3 linked regions of the Drosophila melanogaster genome follow. The protein of the gene in region 2 interacts with the protein of the main gene of each other region in a pairwise test. Each region holds a gene or a part of one and is shown on either strand. Other genes may lie near its edges.

Evidence for each region. The genes of interacting proteins can lie anywhere in the genome.
Region 1: the proteins of Gbeta76C (region 2) and CG17134 interact in a two-hybrid assay, tested with the Drosophila melanogaster proteins (one large-scale study listed by BioGRID).
Region 3: the proteins of Gbeta76C (region 2) and Mpi interact in a two-hybrid assay, tested with the Drosophila melanogaster proteins (one large-scale study listed by BioGRID).

What each region holds. Positions count from the first base shown.
Region 1 is NT_033779.5:10,819,120-10,822,467, forward strand, and holds CG17134 (uncharacterized protein), read left to right. Parts: upstream 1-1,585; 5' UTR 1,586-1,613; coding exon 1,614-2,789; 3' UTR 2,790-2,848; downstream 2,849-3,348. Other genes in the region: Nos (nitric oxide synthase), read right to left, coding at 2,988-3,127; CG6508 (uncharacterized protein), read left to right, coding at 4-1,275.
Region 2 is NT_037436.4:19,683,702-19,692,209, reverse strand, and holds Gbeta76C (G protein beta subunit 76C), read right to left. Parts: upstream 4,574-8,508; 5' UTR 4,483-4,573; coding exon 4,414-4,482; intron 3,993-4,413; coding exon 3,547-3,992; intron 3,493-3,546; coding exon 3,291-3,492; intron 3,152-3,290; coding exon 3,022-3,151; intron 2,939-3,021; coding exon 2,852-2,938; intron 2,659-2,851; coding exon 2,552-2,658; 3' UTR 2,218-2,551; downstream 1-2,217. Other genes in the region: verm (vermiform), read left to right, coding at 252-401, 554-1,704; CG8765 (uncharacterized protein), read left to right, coding at 4,975-5,215, 5,274-5,415, 5,564-6,252, 6,319-6,472, 6,532-7,378. UniProt on the Drosophila melanogaster protein: Guanine nucleotide-binding proteins (G proteins) are involved as a modulator or transducer in various transmembrane signaling systems.
Region 3 is NT_033777.3:9,757,845-9,761,708, reverse strand, and holds Mpi (mannose phosphate isomerase), read right to left. Parts: upstream 2,088-3,864; 5' UTR 1,984-2,087; intron 1,860-1,983; 5' UTR 1,808-1,859; coding exon 1,231-1,807; intron 1,178-1,230; coding exon 564-1,177; 3' UTR 501-563; downstream 1-500. Other genes in the region: Alg12 alpha-1,6-mannosyltransferase, read right to left, coding at 2,498-3,575, 3,635-3,864.

The sequences.
Region 1 (3,348 bases), on a different chromosome or scaffold from region 2:
GTCATGGAAGTTGGCCAACTAATAATTATACCACTATTTTTACTGCTGCTTGACCATTCGATGGGCCAACTCAGGAGGACTCCCATCACTCGTCAGATCAACCAGAACAAGACCCATGCCAATGTGAAGGCGGAGAAGATCTTGCTGGCGGCCAAGTACTTTCTGGTGGACAGACAATCATCACAAACGACACAGGTGCTAGCCAACGGATTCAATCTGGAGTACACCATTCGCCTCTGCATCGGAACACCACCGCAGTGTTTTAATCTTCAGTTCGACACTGGATCATCCGACTTATGGGTGCCGAGTGTAAAGTGTTCAAGCACCAACGAAGCCTGCCAAAAGCACAATAAATACAACTCGAGTGCGTCCAGTTCCCACGTGGAGGATGGAAAAGGATTTAGCATACAGTACGGCTCAGGCAGCTTGTCTGGATTTTTGTCCACGGATACGGTGGACATCGATGGTATGGTAATCAGGAATCAGACATTCGCCGAGGCCATCGATGAACCAGGTTCAGCCTTTGTGAACACCATTTTTGATGGCATAATTGGAATGGCATTTGCGTCCATTTCCGGCGGAGTCACCACTCCCTTTGACAACATCATCCGGCAGGGATTGGTCAAACATCCGGTGTTCTCCGTCTACCTCAGGCGCGATGGTACCTCACAGTCTGGCGGAGAAGTCATCTGGGGTGGAATCGATCGGAGCATCTACAGGGGTTGCATCAACTACGTTCCAGTATCGATGCCTGCCTATTGGCAATTTACGGCTAATTCGGTGAAAATCGAGGGCATCCTTCTCTGCAACGGATGCCAGGCCATCGCCGATACTGGCACCTCGCTCATCGCCGTTCCCCTGCGAGCCTATAAAGCGATCAATAAAGTGTTGAATGCCACTGATGCCGGAGATGGAGAAGCATTTGTGGACTGCAGCAGTCTCTGTAGATTGCCGAATGTTAATCTAAATATCGGTGGCACTACCTACACACTAACGCCAAAGGATTACATCTACAAGGTCCAGGCGGATAACAATCAAACCCTGTGCCTATCCGGCTTCACATACTTGCAGGGTAATTTACTATGGATACTGGGAGACATTTTCCTTGGAAAGGTCTATACGGTTTTCGATGTGGGCAAGGAGAGAATTGGATTCGCAAAACTAAAGAAGCATTCAAGTTATAGGGTTTATGCCTCCAGTTATGTGAAAGAACCATCTAGCTACGGCATCGATTACCCATTCTACGGCGATGAATACTCCAGATTCTTTACTTGAGTCAATTATATTTCAACTCCAAACTAATCCACGTGCCTATTTGTTTCATCATAAACCTTATGGCTAAACACTTGTATTAAAGAAGATTTGTAAAACGAACAACAAATATTTGCCGAGTTCTTTAATCTCTACGACTGGAGTTGGCTTTGTTTCCAAGTCAGCTTAAGTATGCCAACAGAACTCGTGGACGTCATTAACTTCCAGAAATGGAAAATTTCGTGGCTATTTATGGATATTTGCAGTTAGACAATACAAAAAAAATGGGAGAGCAGACAGAAAAGTTATTTAAATTTCGAACCCATTTCAAATCTATTCACAGTCGAATTTCAGCCGCAGACATGAGACAGTTGTTAGTTTTATTGGTGCTTGTCGGGATTGGCCATTCCGCTGCCAAGTTGAATCGCGTCCAGCTCCAAGTGAACAAGAATTTCACCAAGACCCATGGCAGTGTTAAGGCCGAGAAGACCGTGCTGGCATCGAAGTACTCCTTTTTGGCGGAGACCTCTTTCAGTGTCAGTTCGTCGGGTGCCACCGAAAACCTGCACAATTCCATGAACAATGAGTACTACGGCGTGATTGCTATCGGAACGCCTGAGCAGAGATTCAACATTCTGTTCGACACGGGATCGGCCAATCTGTGGGTTCCAAGTGCAAGTTGCCCGGCTTCGAATACCGCGTGCCAGAGGCACAACAAATACGATTCTTCGGCATCCAGCACTTATGTGGCCAATGGTGAGGAGTTCGCCATCGAATACGGAACTGGTAGTCTGTCGGGTTTCCTGTCCAACGACATTGTGACCATAGCGGGAATCAGCATTCAGAATCAGACATTCGGCGAAGCACTCAGCGAGCCGGGTACAACCTTCGTGGATGCTCCTTTTGCTGGAATCCTGGGACTGGCCTTCAGCGCGATTGCCGTCGATGGAGTGACTCCGCCGTTCGACAACATGATCTCCCAGGGACTGCTCGATGAACCAGTTATCTCCTTCTATCTCAAGCGACAGGGAACCGCTGTGCGCGGTGGAGAACTGATCCTGGGCGGTATTGACTCGAGTCTCTATAGGGGAAGCCTCACCTATGTGCCCGTTTCCGTTCCTGCCTACTGGCAGTTCAAGGTGAACACCATCAAGACCAATGGCACTTTGCTGTGCAACGGATGCCAAGCCATCGCCGATACGGGCACCTCCTTAATCGCAGTTCCACTGGCCGCTTACAGGAAGATCAATCGCCAGCTGGGCGCCACCGATAATGACGGTGAGGCATTCGTGAGGTGCGGCCGAGTCTCATCCCTGCCCAAGGTCAACCTGAATATCGGTGGTACTGTCTTCACCCTGGCACCAAGGGATTATATAGTCAAGGTAACGCAGAATGGCCAAACCTACTGCATGTCCGCCTTCACCTACATGGAGGGACTAAGCTTCTGGATTCTGGGTGATGTCTTTATTGGCAAGTTCTACACGGTTTTCGACAAGGGCAACGAAAGGATTGGTTTCGCCAGGGTGGCGGATTATTAACATAACGTTGTTATCGAAAAGGAAATAACTAAGAGAAATACATGCAATACATAAAATCTAACTTGGAGTATTCCTGTGGGTAATAACTATCAGGTTTACTTGCTTACAATGTATGTAAGTAAGATTTAAGTAAATCACAAATCAGAGCGATAGTAAGCTGTGGTAATAGCACCCATCTGCATGCATCTTTATACTCACTTTGGATGGGTCAGCGGAACTTCCAGTATCAATTCGGGCGGGTAATCAAAGTAGTCCGGATCGTGACCATTGGCCGAGACCACCAATGGCAGTATGTCCCACTCGCTGCCCTTGCTCTTCCAGCCCAGCTTGGTGCAGACCTGATGGATGGAAGAGCGATGGGATTGGACATCAAACAAATGTGATTCGGAATCGAAAATCAGCATAAGGCCAGCGGGCAGGCGGTGGCGTATATAAAAGTGACATGTGTAAAAATAAATGGGGATACTTTGGGGCTCGGTTTTATATGCAAATACATTAATGTTGGCATGGGTATGTGGACTATGGATTGACTGAAACCATGGATCGCAGTGTGCCCAAC
Region 2 (8,508 bases):
ACCAATCAAGCCAATATACACCTGTACATACAGTAGTCAGCAATGTTAGACTTCCGGAACTTTGGTAGATCCACGAACGAAACAAACCCTAACCCAGCTCGAAACTAACAACCACCTAAACTACTAAACCCCATCACACTCATGTAAATACTTCTCATTTCAAAATTTAGACATTTGTTGTCACTAACACGCCTCCATCCACCAGTAGCTCCAAAACGTAGCTTCCCACTAACTGAGTGTACATTCCACAGAGCCGCGCAAGGCCAAGCCCATCCTGAAGACGGATGAGCCCATCTGTCCCGAGGGTAAGCTGTCCTGCGGCGACGGCGAGTGCCTGGACAAGGAGCTCTTCTGCAACGGCAAGTCCGACTGCAAGGACGAATCCGATGAGAACGCCTGCTGTAAGTCCAACACACGATTATTCCTACAGATTCGAACTGAATTCCAAATGGTGCTTGAGATGATAAATTGTTGAGGAAATGCAGCATACATTACAGCGCAAAGTTCAATAAATGATCCAGAAGAATGATCCCCAACCATCTACCATTTCCAGCTGTCGATGAGGATCCCAACCGCGCCCCCGAATGCGATCCGACGCAGTGCGCCCTGCCCGACTGCTTCTGCTCGGCGGACGGAACCCGCATTCCCGGCGGCATTGAGCCCCAACAGGTGCCCCAGATGATCACGATCACCTTCAACGGCGCCGTCAACGTGGACAACATCGACCTGTACGAGGACATCTTCAACGGACAGCGCCAGAATCCCAACGGCTGCTCCATCAAGGGCACCTTCTTCGTGTCCCACAAGTACACCAACTACTCGGCGGTGCAGGACCTTCATCGTCGCGGACACGAGATCTCCGTGTTCTCGCTAACGCACAAGGATGACCCCAACTACTGGACCGGCGGCAGCTACGACGACTGGCTGGCCGAGATGGCCGGCTCCCGACTGATCGTGGAGCGCTTCGCCAACATCACCGACGGCTCCATCATCGGCATGCGGGCGCCCTACCTCCGCGTGGGCGGCAACAAGCAGTTCGAGATGATGGCCGATCAGTTCTTCGTGTACGACGCCTCCATCACCGCCTCCCTTGGCCGCGTGCCCATTTGGCCATACACCCTGTACTTCCGCATGCCGCACAAGTGCAACGGCAACGCGCACAACTGCCCATCGAGGAGCCACCCCGTGTGGGAGATGGTCATGAACGAGCTGGACCGGCGCGACGATCCCACCTTCGACGAGTCCCTGCCCGGTTGCCATATGGTGGACTCCTGCTCAAACGTAGCCAGCGGCGACCAGTTCGCACGCCTGCTGCGCCACAACTTCAACCGCCACTACAATAGCAACCGTGCTCCACTTGGACTCCACTTCCACGCTTCGTGGCTGAAGTCGAAGAAGGAGTACCGCGACGAGCTGATCAAATTCATCGAGGAGATGCTCGGCCGCAACGACGTGTTCTTCGTGACCAACCTGCAGGTGATCCAGTGGATGCAGAACCCCACCGAGCTGAACTCGCTGCGCGACTTCCAGGAGTGGAAGGAGAAGTGCGACGTCAAGGGCCAGCCCTACTGCTCTCTGCCCAACGCGTGTCCCCTGACCACCAGGGAGCTGCCCGGCGAGACGCTGCGTCTCTTCACGTGCATGGAGTGCCCCAACAACTACCCCTGGATCCTGGATCCCACCGGCGATGGCTTCTCCGTTTAAGGCCGTCCCGTCGTCGCTATCCTTCCATCTACCCAAACAGGAGAACAACTCACAGTAGTTCCACCGAGAGTCTGATAAACTAAACAAACTGTACCAGCTGATCTATGCTGATCCATCTACAGAATACTCAAATCGTTGCATCCTGCTTCCTGTGTGATCCTAAGCTATCTCTATCCATCTGTTATTTATGCGACTTTCATTTCTATCTCTCTCTCTCTCTCTCTCTCTCTTTCTATCTATCTTCTATCTATCTGTATACTTTCGACTATTCTGTATCTGAACCTGTATCTTTATCTCTCTGTTGATTTCAAAAGTGATTTGTTTTAATTTACCTAGCTGCCTCTTTGACCAGCTCAAAGACAATTTCCACAAACAAACAAAACCAAGCGCCAAAAATCGCAGCAGCAAAAATATCTTCGTAATTGTATAAGTATTTTTTATAAGAAAAATATAAAAAATATATAAAAAAAATTAAGTTGCAATGGAGTTTTAATGGAGGAGACGTGTTACTTTGTTGTACTATTCATACATTTTATTTCGCACATCCAATTGGCACTTGCTTGTTATTGGAGGCTACTTTCTCTAGGTAATCAAGTATTCAATTATTATAATAATATTCATACGCACGTTTTGCTTGCAAATTAGCACTTAAAGGGGGCAAGCTATTCTTATGTTCGCAAGTTTAACAATAGATTTAATATTGTATTAATATTGTTAGTCTGCACTGAGAACTATCCTTATTACTTGCAGGCTATGGATATTACGTATACGTAATTTGCAAGCAAACTGCACGCATAAACGTTGTCTTCGCCTTTGGACGACACTGAACCCAGATCAGAGGCACAGATTAGAGCCACAGACGCACTTGCTGATCCCAACTGGTGGACGCCAGGCACATGCCATTGGGGCACAGGCTGATGCAAGTGATGCGGTTCTCGTGACCAGACAGTGTGCCTGTGGAGGAATGGAAAGTGACAAATGGTAAGTAGAAAGTAGAAAGTGGAGAAGAAGGTCAGCAAATCGATGTAAGTCAAGTGCCAGCCTGAGCATTAGCTTCGCCTCCATTTCCCCGTTCTTTATCACCGAATCCCCCAAGTGCAATGGATATCCAATACCCAATACGAACTACCCAATTCCCAATACCCACCCGTGTGCCGCTGCTTCATCGTGTCCCACGAGTGCACGTTGCCCTCAATGCCGCCGCACATGAGGTAGCGCCCGCTGGTCGATAGAGCTGGTGGGGACACAAAATCAGATTAAAAACCCGTCAAAAGTCAAGGCGACCGTGTTCCACCAAGACGGAGAACGAGAACCCACCGCACGACGTGAAGCCAGTGTTCTTCTGGGGCGGTTCATACTGGGCGATTTGCTGGTCCGCCCGCAGGTCGTACATGCGCGCCGTTTGGTCCTCCGAGCAGGAGGCGAACCCGAAGCCACTGGGATGGTACTGCAACCGATAATGATAATTGGGTGGGTGTAATGAATACATTTGTATTAAATTACAAGTACTAAATAGATTAGCTGCTTATAGTTGTTCTTGGTAATTAATATAAGCTATTATTATTAAAACATATATGTGTACTCACGCAGACGGATGACACGTCCATGTCGTGACCGAAGAACATCTGCTTGTGGCCCTCCTCTCGCACATCCCACAACTTGGCAGTTTTGTCCACAGAGCCAGTGATATAGGTCTTCATATCTGGCGAAAGCGATAAGCCAGCGATATCACCAGCGTGTCCATTGAAATCCATTGTCTTGACACCCTTCTCCAGATCCCAATGGCATCTGTTGGTCATAGGAAACTTAGATTTTACTCCAAAAAGTTAAGCAAAGCCCTACATTTTCATATCTCCCGAGCCGGTGATCAGATGGCCATCGTCGAGGAAGCGACAGGAGCTGAGGAATCCCTCGTAGCCCATCAGCTCTTTGACCATCTTGGCCACTCCGGAGGCATCGCGATTGTTCACATCGTAGACGGTGCACTGGTTGTCCATTCCTCCGCAGGCCACAAAGTTACCCGACGGCGAAAAGGCCACCGTCATTACCCAGGCGGATCTCAAGGGGATGATCTGCACCTTGTTGGCGGTCCAGGTGTCCCAGATGATCAGCTTGCCGTCCAGCGATCCAGTGACGCAGTGCCGCGAGTCCCCGGCAAAATGCACCGAATTCACCTTGTTGATGTGGCCCTTGAGAATCTTCTTGGATGAGAATCGAATCTTGGGCACATCCCCCATGTCGCCGCATTTATCGGCCAACGTGCAATCAGCCTTGCTTTTTTGGTCATCCTGAAAGCAAAATCATAGTAATGAATGACAATTTTTATTACAAGAATTTCCAGAATAAATGTTAGAGACGCATACAGTTTTCGATTAAGTTAAGTCACTTAATTTTTTCAAAATTGGAAATAATGTGTTCGACTATTATCGAGATGAAATATTATGGGAGTAGTTAGCACTGAAGTATGAAATCTGGCAAGATATTTAAAACCCAATCATATTATCATACATATTCCAAAAAGTTATATTAATATTTTTTTGTTAAAATTAAATTAAGGACAACGAATTTCTTTTTAAGCTGGCTATCGGTATTTTTAGAGTATTGTTATTTTATATGGGGAAAACTTTTTTATGTTACTTTTGTTGTTGCTATATTTATTATCTGATATTTTTAATTTACTTCGCTGTACGTTGAGTTTATTTAATTCACCTTAAACTTCTGTATCATGCCATTGATTTCGTCGTAGAGTTTTTGTGTTTCTGGGTCAATTTTCGGCATTATGGAGCATTAATTATATAAGGACGGCTGCAATATTTGCCAGAAGAAAGTTTCTAGTTTTGAACCGCACTGCGTCGCACAATAAACTGAGAGTTAAACAATTTGTTTTGCCTGAATGTTATGATGTTTTCTTTTTTCCTTAGCGGTAATGCAATTAGCTAATTGGATTAGCCGTTAAATACAAATGTATAGAAAGACGATTTTTTGGCGCCAAAATTTTAAAATCGAACATATGAGCGGGCTGCCAACTTATCGAAATGGTGTGCGCCTCTTGCAGCACTGGACTGTTCAGGGTGACCAGGTCGGTGGCCACCAGATGTTCCACTCAATGTAAAAAAGATGCTTGTATAGCCAAGGCGAAACTGGTCCCTCTAATTACACAACTCTCCAGGATCAGCTGTTCGGTCACCTCATTTTTGTTTTCCCTGTTTTTATTTATAACAATTGCCCATATTAACACACCGCCAGCATGGACACCAAGTAGGGAGCGCCATGGAGACGCTGCCATGTGCCAACCAGCTGCAGGAGCACCAGCAGCCGCAGCAGCAGCACGTGAATCTCAGCATAGATCCTAGTCTGGGTGAGAATGTGGTCAGCATTCCCAAGGAGCTGATCCTCATTTCGCTGGTCTCCCAGGAGCAGTCGCTATACAATCCCAAGCATCCCCACTACCGCAGCACCAAGATCAAGGACGAGAAATGGCTGGAGATTGGCAGCAATGTGGGTTGGTCCGGTAAGTGAACGTTTAAGTTTCCCCACCAAAAAGTTGGCACTTAATCCCATTTCCACAGACGTCCAGTGCAAGTCCAAGTGGAAGGCCATGAGGGATCAGTACTGCCGGGAGCTGAAGCGCGCCAAGGCCTGCTCAAAAGCAGTGAAGTGGAAGTATTTCAAAGAGCTGGATTTCCTGCGTCCATATGCGCTGGCAAGAAAGTAAGTAGCACGTGGAGCAATTCAAGTTGGCACCGCCATGCTGACTGCCAATGCAGACTATACAGCATATGGAGCTATCTATCACTAGTTCTGTTCTTCAGGCTTCCAAATGATATGTCCGTATTTAATTAAACCCACAATTCTTTAGTTACAGAGGGAGATCTGGTCAGACTTCCAATGGCGCCGTGGGTACGGTGACCCCCTTATCGCTGCCCATGACTACTTCCTTCAGCAGCAACAGCAGTAGCCAGAATCTAAACCTTTCCGGCAGCATTAAAATTGAGGATGCCAGTGCATCCACGCTGCTCGACAGCTGCAGCTTCAGTTCGCCTAGTTCAACTGATAAGAAGCCGGCAGCCACTTTCTTGGCAAGCCATATTGGAGCCGTGCTGCAGCAGCAGCAGCAGCAACAGCAGCATCAGCAACAAATGCACTCGCAGCCGGAAGCGAACTGGAACTATCTGACGGATGCGGGAGGCGGTGCTACTCCATCAATCATAGTGCAGTGTGGAACCGCCAACACAACCACGGTGGTAGACACTCTCTACAACGAAATAGTGGACTGCGTCAATGCCGCCAATCAGTCGAGCTCGGCAGCAACAATCACGTCTAATGTATCCACCACTTCAGCAGCGCACAATCAATCGACGAACGCCGAGGAGGAGGACGACGATCCCATACACACATTTCTCAACATGGAGAGCTACTTCGAAAAGGAACTGATCACGCTGATCCAGCAGGAAGACATGATCTACAACTACGGCAACGAGAACTATCGCAATGCCAAGCTCAAGATGGAGGTGTGGGAGGAAATCGCCAGAAAACTAAAGAAGTCGGGTATGTGGTTGATAAACTTAAACAGCCGAAGGATGAAGATGATTTTTCAAGCATTAACTATTTTAGTGAAACAGTGTCGACTGAAGTGGAAGGCTTTAAGGGACCAATACGCACGCGAACACAAGCGATTGAGGACACTGATGCACATAGATGCCACATCGCGTTGGAAGCACTATAATTCGCTCAGTTTCCTTCAGAAGTACATACAACAAAAGACGCTGTAAGAGAGGTTTTGTTTATTTTAACATAATCATATATTGATAACTTTTTACTCTTCAGGGAAAGCGATTCGCAACTCAGTATGCTGCTACCCAAAAATGACCCGGTGAGGGAACTCGAGGACCATATGACCCAGTCTCACTCACCGCCCACGCAGCAGATCACCCTAGAGTCGTCTTCGTCGAATTCCCAGCTTAACTTGCCCACCCTGCCTCATTTGACGGGACCACACAAGGCTGAGCAACAACAACAACAGCAACAGCAGGAAGAGCAGCACCAACAGCAACAACAGCATCAGCAGCAACAACAGCAACAGCAGGCAAGTGAACTCTGTGTGGCCACCTATGACGACATGGACATCGAGAATTACATCAACGGAGATGTACACCATAATGATGATGATGTGGAAGACGATGAGGATGAGGAGATGGAAACCACAACGGCGGCGGAACAACCTCCTCAGCAGCAGGATCAGCATGTAATGACTTACGATCACGAAGATGGACCCGTTTACATGGCTGTTCCAAGCGTTGGCAGTGCCATGTCCAAGCAAGAGCAGCTCAGCGACGGGGCCACCAGCCTGGAAAATCAGCAGCTTCAATCAACTGCGGAGTTCCAGAAGATCGAGATACAGACTCCAACCACGCCTAGGTACCAGAATGCTGCCACTACGCCAAGCTCTACTTCCACGTCTCGCTATCACTCGGCGCCCATTACGCCCAGCAAACCCACCCATATGGAGTATCCCTCCAGCAATGGCCACAACTCCGGAGAGGACGATGAGATAGGTGCGTTCTTCAAGGCTGTGTCCATGAAGATACGCAATGCTCAGCTGGAGCCGGTGGCTTTTACCGAACTGCAAATTGATATTCTGCGTGTCATCAACGAGGCACTGAGGAATCACTAGCGCTGCTGGTGACCTTTGGCTACCTGGAGAGGAGTATGATGCTTGAGTGGACCATCAACGGTTTCAGGGCGACTCATTCTAGACATTAAGTGTTATTTCAAAGTGTTTTTCTAATTTCTAGACGAGTTGATATCTTTGTAAATTTCTATACCCGTTACTCGTAGAGTAAAAGGGTATACTAGATTCGTTGAAAAGTTTGTAACAAGCAGAAATGTTTCCGACCATATAAAGTCTATATATTTCTGGCCATATCCGGCCATATCCGTCTGTCCGTATGCACGTCGAGATCTCAGGAACTATAAAAGCTAGAAGGTTAAGATTCAGCATACATATTCTGGAGGCATAGACGCAGCGCAAGATTGTTGACCCATGTTGGCACGCTCTAAAACCGCCCAAACCTGCCAAGCCCACACTTTTCAAAAATGTGTTGATATCATTTCATAATTTTATTAGTCGCTAAAATTTCTATCGATTTGACAAACAACTTTTTGCCACGCCCAACGTCCTAAAAGCCGCCACACCGGTCACGCCCACAATTTCTAAATTTGTTCTCATTTTATTCGCGTTCGCATTCACACTAGCTGAGTAACGGGTATCTGATAGTCGGGGAACTCGACTATAGCATTCTCTCTTGCTTTCTTTAAAATTTCGGAACTTTTAAAAGCGAAATTCGTTTGCTTAACCAGCGCGAGGGTGGATCTTAAAATGTTATATGTACATAGACAAAAATCCAATAATAGCGGAAGAAAATAGTGTTTACTAGCTTAGGATGCTTCCGGTGCTGACGCAACCGGAACTAAAAATTCAATTAAATATTTAAATACTTGTAACCAAATCGATTGTAACCAATTCGTACAATGTCAAAGAAAAAAGAAAATATATTTTTAGAGCAAATATTCTTGATGTAGGGTGAATTTGTCAGATGGATTGGAATAATAATGCCGTACCCAAACAACTCGTAGATTAAAAGGGTATACTGGGTTTATTGAGAAGTATGTAACATGCTGAAGGAATCGTTTTCGACCCTATAAAGTGGCGCAGGTTCACTAATCAATTCGTTCTGGCCATGTCCGTATGTCGGTTCGTGTGAACACACCTAAATGGGTATCTGATAGTCGAGGAACACGATT
Region 3 (3,864 bases), on a different chromosome or scaffold from region 2:
AGATGGATAAATGTGAATTAATGTATTTACAATTCGTAGAACCACCGCATCCCGCACGGGCACCGAAAAACCAAACAAAGACGGGCGGAAATTATGTATAACGTAGCCAATTTTATGTTCTCCATTGTTAACCCTTTTTAAGTAGGCCATGTATTTGGGCATTTCGCAAGCCCAGCACAGCAGTCCAAGCACCAATTCTATTGAATTACACTAGATTTGCACTCGAACCTCTTGCTTCGTACATATGAATAATTTATCCCCAGTGAATGTAACCCCGATCGAGTTACGTAGCTCTAGCTTAAGTACTTGAAATTGTTGGTTGCAATTATCGCAAATATTTAAGAAACTACCTGTTTGTGCGCAAGATATTTCTCGTTAATTATTAAATGTACTATGGAACGAGTATAGCCAATTGATTAGATAACTTATTTATCGCTACTATTGCCACTTTAGCTTACATTCTTAGCTCTTAATTGCAAGTAAATATAAACAAAATAATTCACCACCAAAACGTGTTAATGGATTTATTGCACTGTACAAAATATTTCGATTAACTGAGAATTTTAGGGCACTCGAAAGTAGTTGCTGGTTGCTATGTAGCCGCTGAAGTCCTCGTCGCAATCGTCGGACTGGGCGAATTCGATTTCCGGCGCCGCCTCGACGGGAATGTACACAATGCTGCCGCGGGTTACCAAGATCTCCTTATCTCCCTGCTGGGTTTTCAATTTAAGAATGCGGGATCCCTTTAGAACTATCAATATGGAGCCGAATGCTTGTATCTCCAGCTTGTACGACTCCAGCGAGTGTTCGATATTCACATTTATCACTGCAAAGTCGGATACTGGCGGAATATAGACCTGGACCTGGTCATCTATGCGGTACGGAATGAACTCCTTGCGATCCTTATACGAACTTTCGAAGATCACAGATTCCAGCAGCTGGTCCACATCCTTGTACTTGGGCGTTAGGCCCGCCCGTATCACATTGTCCGAGCAAGCCATGCACTCCACACAGTCGCCGTCCAGGTAGGCATGAATCTCGTTCGCGCCCAAGTAGATCGCCTGGCCGGGCTGCAGGCGGATTAGGTTGAGGAAGAACAGGGACAGTACGCCCACATCGCCGGGGAAGTCTTTGTTGACCTTGGTGAACACCTCAAGCAGATCGTTGGATTTCAGTTCTATTTTAGAGGAATGTTTACAAATCTTTCATAGATTGCACAGAATGGCTCACCGTTTTGGTAATCCTTGGCTATTTCACTGATGCACTTGGCTATCACCGGCTCTTCGGTCTTCATCAGCTTCTCGTAGCACAACTTAACGCTTTCCGAGTTGGTCGAGTCATGGAGCTGATCCACAGCCTCCTTGCCAATGAGTTTACTCAGCGGCTGGAACTCATCGATGTAGTCCCTGATATCTTCGGCTGACATAAATCCCACGAGGGCCAGAAAGGGCGTGAGGGCAATGGCCAGTTCCGGCTTGTGATTGGGATCCTTGTAGATATCCGGGCGCTCCTTGTGCAGGCGCTCCGCTTCGCACTTGTTCGGATGCACCTGGATGCTGAGTGCCTTGTTGATGCTTAGCACCTTGAACAGGTATGAAAGGTCCTTCTTTAGCACTCGGTCCAGAGTCTCTCCGGTTTCCTTGACCACGGACACACCGCACACATGCGTGCCCATCCACATTTCCGCATAGGTCTCCTCCTCGTTCAGACGAAAGTCCGGATCATTGGCCATTGCCAGCTGGGCCACCGCCGAGTTGATGCCCTTGCGGCCCCAGCCGTAGTTCTTCACCCATCCAGTCAGCTCCATTTCACCGCACCGATTGCCTTCCAAAATTCGCCGTACTGCGTTTGAGGTCAACCTGAAGGTGATAAGAAAACATATGATTGCTGGTGAATGGATACGTGTGAGAGGGGTTGGTCTGTGGTGAAAGCGCCATTAAGTGGATTAGCGTTGATACACCTGCGACATAAGGCTTATCACACCTTTTTATATAGATAACAGCTTTCTGGAAGTTTGTAATTTCGATTTTATTGCCGAAATAATTTGGTGTGTTTCCACCACTGTTACTTTAAATACATATATCGCGTTTAAGCTAGAGATGGGGATATTGCGATATCCCTAATGACTAGTTCTACATATATGACGATACTTTAATACTCTATAATTTAATTTATATTTATTTTTGGTCAGCAAAAAATATATCCGACGTGCCGTAATGTGTCATACTCTATTTGGCAATTTATGTTTAGTTAGAGCGTTTGAGCTTAATTAGGCGCGATTAGATGCGATTTAGGGGGGATTTTGAGGCGACTTTAGCGCGATTCGGACGCGATTCGGGTGCGATTTGGCCGCGACTTAATTTTCTATCAAGATATAGGAAATTCCTGAAATTTTGATTCGCTTTTATTATTGCTTTTATTTTAAATTTTTACAACTGTGCCATTAACAAACGCTTAGCTTAATTTAATAAAACAGTTTAAAGTGTGATAGGTTTTGTCATTTGGATTTCAAACCCTCGCTGTCATCTATTTTGTCTATGACCTGTTTTAAGCAATCTTTGGTCGAAGTCCTTTCCAAATCGCAGATGCGTGTCAGATCCATCGTAGCGATCTGCTCGATCATTTCCTTGATCTTCTCCTGCTTTATGATGGACTTTACGGATTGCCGTAATCCAGCCTTTCCTTGCGTTTTTTGGGTCTCTGCGGAGTCGTTTTCGATTTGTTTGCCCTTGGCGCGGTAGTGCTGCTCGATAATTTGTCGAATCTTCATCTTGGTGGCTGCTCTCGACTTCTTGGTTGCCTGTCCCAAGGCGAGGGTTCTCAGCTCCTGGAAATTGATCTCCTTCAAGGGCGTTTCGATGGTCTCTGCCCCAGCATGGGGCTCAGTATCCGTTTCCAGTTCTAGCGACATTTCCTCCACAGTGGACACGATGCCATCATCATCATCCGCATCGACTTGTAACCTGGATTTCATTTTCGGATCTCCTATCACTTTTGGAAATTCTTTAACAGGAGCTAATAACGTTTCTTTTTCCACCGGGTATGTCTTAGTTTTTGCTATTTTCTCTTTTGTTTTTGATGCCTCTTTTGGAGCCACTGGTCTCTTTTTAAGTATACCAATGCAAGGCTTCGTCTTTATTCGCACCGGCAGCAGAGAATTGTATTGAATGCCGATGCTGTTGAAGCAGTCAATAAACTCTAGCGTATCGAATTCGTTTTGGAGCGATGCCCATAGTTCAGTGTTTTGCTTGTTCTTCGCCTCGACCAAAAGATGTGTGTATGCAACCAAATCCGCCTGGGTATAGTTCATTGTCTCGTCCTTGCTGTAAGTCCATTCATTATTTATTTCCATAAAACGCGACACGCCGCTCTGGGCGGCCAAGTTGGAAATGTGAACGGAAACGTTTGAGGTGCCAGCTTCCAAGCGATGCAATCGGGAGAGGGCTGCTCCGCCCGGATAGTTGGTGCCCGAAATGACAAGCAGGAAGAGCGTTATAAAGACATTTAGCAGGAGATGGGCTCCACAGGCGAGCGCCAGAAAGCTATGCCACGTTGACTTGGCGCTGTTCATCCAACTAAACGAGGAAACCAATAATAGAAATGCATTTTACTAATGAAATAATACGACGCTTACATTCGTTGGCATGCGCAAGCCGCAGCAATGTTGAGAACTGGAAACACGTAGATGATGAAGCGCAGCTCCTTGTGCGGCAGAATGGAGTACAAAAGGACAAAGAGGAGAGCCGACAGGACCAATGGCCGAATACGTGGCTCCAATGCGACGCCGATGGGCACGAGCACCAGCGATGCACCCATGGCACGTGGCAGGGCGGAGTAAAAGTACCATAGAAAAGGCGAGGTACC